Saccharomyces cerevisiae S288C: one gene and its partner. The gene in region 1 interacts genetically with each later gene. Each region holds a gene or a part of one and is shown on either strand. Other genes may lie near its edges.

Evidence for each region. Genes that interact genetically often act in the same process or in processes that back each other up.
Region 2: mutations in SND2 (region 1) and RRF1 together harm fitness more than expected from each alone (negative genetic interaction), as found in Saccharomyces cerevisiae (2 studies listed by BioGRID).

Annotation. Positions count from the first base shown.
Region 1 is NC_001144.5:265,816-268,778, forward strand, and holds SND2 (Snd2p), read right to left. Parts: upstream 1,104-2,963; coding exon 558-1,103; downstream 1-557. Other genes in the region: PER33 (Per33p), read left to right, coding at 1-462; signal peptidase complex subunit SPC3, read left to right, coding at 1,354-1,908; PET309 (Pet309p), read right to left, coding at 1,998-2,963. UniProt on the Saccharomyces cerevisiae protein: Functions in the SND pathway, a SRP (signal recognition particle) and GET (guided entry of tail-anchored proteins) independent pathway for targeting a broad range of substrate proteins to the endoplasmic reticulum.
Region 2 is NC_001140.6:182,353-185,258, reverse strand, and holds RRF1 (Rrf1p), read right to left. Parts: upstream 1,194-2,906; coding exon 501-1,193; downstream 1-500. Other genes in the region: MSC7 (meiotic recombination directing protein), read left to right, coding at 1-384; PUT2 (1-pyrroline-5-carboxylate dehydrogenase), read right to left, coding at 1,555-2,906. UniProt on the Saccharomyces cerevisiae protein: Necessary for protein synthesis in mitochondria. Functions as a ribosome recycling factor in mitochondria.

The DNA of each region.
Region 1 (2,963 bases):
AGTCCCGTTATCTTTTCAATCTTTCACTTCCTGAACTATTTTAAGGAAAACCTTTTGCCATTTTTGCCTTTGATACCACTTAATTTGAAAAATTTGTTGAACTCCAAAATAACGGTATTCATCCAAAACTACAATGGATTTTTCTTACAGATGGCGCAAGTATTTGAGATTATCTGCGGCCTACGTGTGGGCCTCTTCTTAGTGCCCTTCAATTTTTTCTTGTTGTTGGTAAGAAGAGCAAACGTGTCGTTTGAGGTAGTGGGTACAATGTTGGCAGGACTAACCTATGTATGGTTTTTCAAATTAAGGTACCTACAAAGTGAATCTATGAGGCAGATATTTAAACAATATGTCCTTAGGTTGGATGCATATGTCAGCCGTACTTTGCCCCCATATTGTTCCCGTTTATGGAACGGCTATAAGAATTTCGTTATGACAGTGTTTTGGAAGATACCTGTGTAGCATGCTCATTTTAAGTATATCTAAATATTATTTTGTATATACTCACACTCCTCTATAGAAAGCAAAAAATTTCAAAAACGTTTGAAAAGCTTTGTTTAACGATACTTGTACTTAATTTTAGAGTCAGTTTCACCCCTCCTCTCCCTTTTCATCTGCCTTTTGGATTTGGATTGTCCCTCATTAGCATTTTTTGAGCGATTATCTGCCTGAGTTTGTTGAGCGCCAGGCATGAACATGTTTTTGAGGCCATATAACTTGTAACCAGCATAGATGGGGCACAATAGTAGACACCACCAAAATTTGAATGTCCTGAAAGCTATAATACCAATGTTACCAAAAAGTGATAGATATATCAAATCAAAAAAATATGATATCAAATTTGTATTGTCGTTCAAGTCTATACCTTGTTTTACTACGCGATTGCCATCATATTTGGGCTTACCGGATAGCACAATGATATACAGAGCAACGAACATAGGAACGTTCAAAGCCACCAGCTTAATCCATTGGCCAATTGTAACCTTACGTGAAATGAATAGACGTACGATAGCCATTCCTAAAAACAAAGAGACTTGCTTGTATAAGCCCTGAATTATTTTTGCATTTGAACTAGCCTGTTTCCTCCCTGCTTTGCCAGCCATTCTACCAACACAAACTTAGACCACTGCCTTTGGTGTCTTCTTGAAGCCACACGTGAATACTACCTTTTTTTCATCTATTATCTTTTTTTAATTACGTTGAAATTTTTCATTTCAAAGGCGCAGAACGAAGGTCGACTAATTTCATGACAGTCGGTAGACGTGGAGAAAAAAGTTGATTGTTAAGCCTATTAAGTTCCACTGAGACAAAGACCCACAAAGCTAGCTAGCATTGCCGCACTTCTCCAGAACAATGTTCTCCTTTGTCCAAAGATTCCAGAATGTATCGAACCAGGCCTTTTCAATGGGAATTGTAATGGTTGTATTCATCATGGCATCCTCATACTATCAATTAATCAATAATAACGCGTTCTCAGTACCTAGTAATATCGATAACGTCAAAACTTTAATAAATGTTAGAACAAGTAGATATTTTGGCTCACAGAGAGGCAAGGCAAAGGAAAATATGAAAATTAAATTTGATCTAAATACAGATCTCACTCCCCTATTCAATTGGAATACAAAGCAAGTTTTTGTCTATCTAACTGCTGAGTATAACAGTACTGAAAAAATAACAAGTGAGGTAACATTTTGGGATAAGATCATAAAAAGCAAGGATGATGCTGTGATTGATGTGAACGATCTAAGATCCAAGTATTCTATCTGGGATATTGAAGATGGAAAATTCGAAGGCAAGGATTTGGTTTTCAAGTTACACTGGAATGTTCAACCATGGGTAGGTTTGCTAACTTACGGTGAAACTGTAGGCAACTATACACTGACCGTGGAAAATAAAAACAAAGTTTAGACTAGTCTTTGCTCTCTCAATTTTTGTTAATTATTTACATGATTTTTTGATATATATGCAGTTGATTATACAATATGATATATGCATTTCTAGAATTTACTCACAGGTAATACTCTCTTAGATTTCCTCAGTTCTTTAAAATATGAAAGATGTCTCATTTCAATCTGTTCCCATTTATTGATCTTGCTTCTTGGCATTAATAAGTAATCTTTCATAAAATACTTGTAATTTGATATGAAGTCACGTACCTGATCTTCTAAAGTTTTTAAATCATCAATACCGTCCAAATATGTGTCTAACTGCCTCATTATACTGTTATATGTATCGCTTTTTAAGTATAGTCTGGGCTGAAATTTATTGGGCTCTTTTTCCTTCATTTTTAATGTTGGCCAAGATTTATCACTGGACTGCGTCTTATCCTCGGATAGTTTCGTTAATAGTCTAAATTTATGGATCAAATTATACCCATGAATTAGTGTGTCATCAACGATTTTCATACCATACGAAAGGGTTCTTGGATCCTTAAATAACGCTTCTACAGCGCTGTTCCACGATATATTATCTAAAATAAAACCTTTTTCTCGCAATTTCTTCCACAGTAATGGCAGCTCATCGATTTTATTCATTGCAATCAACTGACTTACTTTATAAGGGAACAATCCGCTGAATATGCTTCTTAGTTTAATATTTGGCGTTGTAGATGATGGCAAGTTTTCAATGTTTTCAATACGATCCATGTATTTAGCGAAAAGTGTTTCGAAATCTTTCCATTGTTCAATTTGAGCTAGTAATACCAACAATGATCTCATCATCACAAATTTATTATTATTTGATATCCAATCATGCTTTTTGAAGAAAAGCTCATTGTACCGGTTGTATAACTCTAAAGCCCGCTGTGGGCTATCATGTTTCACAATCATTCTCATTGGCCATGCCATGACCGAGGGATGCAGTTTGTTATACGTAACGTCGAGAGTTCCATTGGCAGCATTTTCCATGATGTCTTCTACCATATTAATCGTTTCCTTGATTTCCTCATTATTTTGTAGGCTTTT
Region 2 (2,906 bases), on another chromosome or scaffold:
GCGCCATTTGGTCTAGGTGGTTCTGTGTTTGGTGCGGATATCAAGGAATGCAATTACGTCGCAAATAGCCTACAAACTGGTAATGTAGCCATTAATGATTTTGCTACATTCTATGTTTGTCAATTACCATTTGGTGGTATCAATGGTTCAGGTTACGGTAAATTTGGTGGTGAAGAAGGTCTTTTGGGTTTGTGCAATGCCAAAAGTGTCTGTTTTGATACTTTGCCTTTTGTCTCCACTCAAATTCCAAAACCATTAGACTACCCTATTCGTAACAATGCTAAGGCTTGGAATTTTGTAAAGAGTTTCATCGTAGGAGCTTATACAAATTCCACATGGCAAAGAATAAAGTCACTGTTCTCTTTAGCTAAAGAAGCCAGCTAGTTTACTTTAGAGGAAGCAACAAACTTATCAATAATTTGGTATTTATTATTATATAAAATGAACTTTTTATGTACAAGATTTATGATTTTTTGATTCTATACACGTTACGAAATTCCTCATTTTACAATGCTTTTTTCAACTTTCTGGAATTGGTCATGAAGCTTGTTCACGTAATCCTTATGCAGTTTTTCCAAATCCCTCTCAGCTTTTCGAACGGCATCATCCTTTTTGAAACTTTTGAATTCCTTTAGAATACTGCCTCTGATAGTTCCTAATGAGTCTTTTAGCGATGACTGCTTATATTCTTCAAATACTCTCTTTAAGTCTTTAGCTACTTTTAACCGGGATTCTGTAGTTGGTGGTGGTAACGAAACTTTCAATTGCAAATCGTTATTTGGGACCCTTTCAGGAGTTAAATTCAGGTTCGCAGCAAGCACCCCACTGATCACAGTTTTCACATCTTTGGGGTCGAAAACTGTTATTAAAAGTGCATTTTTACCTTTCAAGGATGTGGTAGCAATATCTGTAAACTTTCTGTTATTTTTGAACACTAAACTATTGAATACCTTAGGATTAAAATTTCCCTGTTTTATCTCATTCATTTTCTGTTTTTGAATTTCTAAAGTTTTTTTGAATTGAGTTTCTGCCTTTTTCAGCAGTTCATTCACGTCAATTTCATCTTCTTCGACTTTCTCAGTAGGGGTAGAACTTTTTTTCTTCAAAATTATGAAAGATTGACTAAAAGAACGATTAAATAGACGAGGAACGGTGACTGGTCTACAATTTAATCTAGCTGTGGTTAAAATCATTATTTCTTGCTGTTATTTTTCTTGTCAGGGACTGCTCGCCAAAGTTTCCATCTTTAAGCTTACGAATGGACGTATTTAATAAATTGATGTTCTGTTTCCGGACGGGTCCTTATGCCAAAAACAGAATGAATATGCGGCGAATAAATAGCAACGTGAATAAGTAAGTCATGACAGAATATAGAACGGGAATTTGGACGGTTGGTTCAATGAATATTTTTAAACTATTTACCTAGATAAATTAAAATTGTAAAACTAAAAAAACCTAATGAAGTAATCAAAACCCTTTTTTCGATAATCTAACATTTACATGAGTTGATGGATGAAGTGACTGCATTCGCGGTTCTATTCCACAAAAATTTTTTTATTCATAATTCGATGGATATTTGAAATCAGTCAACTCGTAGAAGTTCTCCTTTGTGTTTCTAATACTGACAAATCTGCTTAAAATGTTTGGACCACCAGCCTTATCGTCGGTACCACTCATTCTTGCGCCACCAAACCATTGCTGAGAAACAACGGCACCAGTACACTTATCATTTATGTAGAAATTTCCTGCGCTAAACTTCAACTTCTCATCTGCGTATTCAATTGCTTTACGATCTTTGGCAAAAATAGCACCAGTTAAGGCGTATTGACTCGTATTATCGATAATATCACAGATTTCATTAAATTCAGTATCTGGATACTCGTAAACAGTTAATATAGGGCCAAAAAATTCTGTTGACATATATGGATGATCTGGTCTCTTGGCTTTTATGACTGTGGGTCCGACAAACCAACCTTGGCTTTTATCGTATTGTCCACCGTAAAGAATTTCCAACTCGGGGTCTTTCTTTGCATCTTCAATTACTTTAACTAATTTGTCGAAACTTTGTTCATGGATGACAGGACCCATAAATCCCCGCAAATTCCCACCAGAAATTGGACTTGCGGATGTGTTCATTGGGACAACATTCTGTGACTGCAATATGCCAAACATATCGGATAAGAATTCTTCACTTTTTGACTCTGGAAGATATAACCTGGAAGCGGCAGAGCACTTTTGGCCTTGGAACTCGAAAGTGCCTCTAATAGTAGAGAGTACTGCATGTGATATATTTGCACTTGGGTGAACTAGATGGAAATTTTTACCACCTGTCTCACCAATAATACGGGGGTAATCTCTGTACTTCCCTTCAACAACGCCACTTTGTATTTTGCCATACAAACTCTTAAAGACATTTGTAGAACCGGTAAAATGCAAGGCACCAAAATCTTTATCAGCTAATACCTGGTCAGTAACTTGAACTGGATCACCTGGAATGAAATTTATGACACCCTTTGGCAATCCCGCTTCTTCCAAAACAGTCATCAATAAGTAATTTGAAAGGGCAGCGGTTTGTGAAGGTTTCCAGACAACTGTATTACCCATCAAAGCTGGAGCCCCAATCAAGTTTGCAGCAATAGCAGTAAAGTTGAATGGTGAAACAGCATACACAAATCCCTCTAAAGGTCTGTATTCAGCTTTATTCCAAGTACCATCCGCTGACTCTACGGGTTGTTGAGCATACAAGTCTGATGCATACTTGACATAGTATCTAAAAAAGTCAGATAATTCCGTGATACAGTCGATTTCTGCCTGATACACATTTTTTCCCTGGCCCAGCATTGTAGCAGCTAACATGTCATAACGATACTTGGTGGAAATTAAGTCAGCGGCTTTCAAAAAAATTG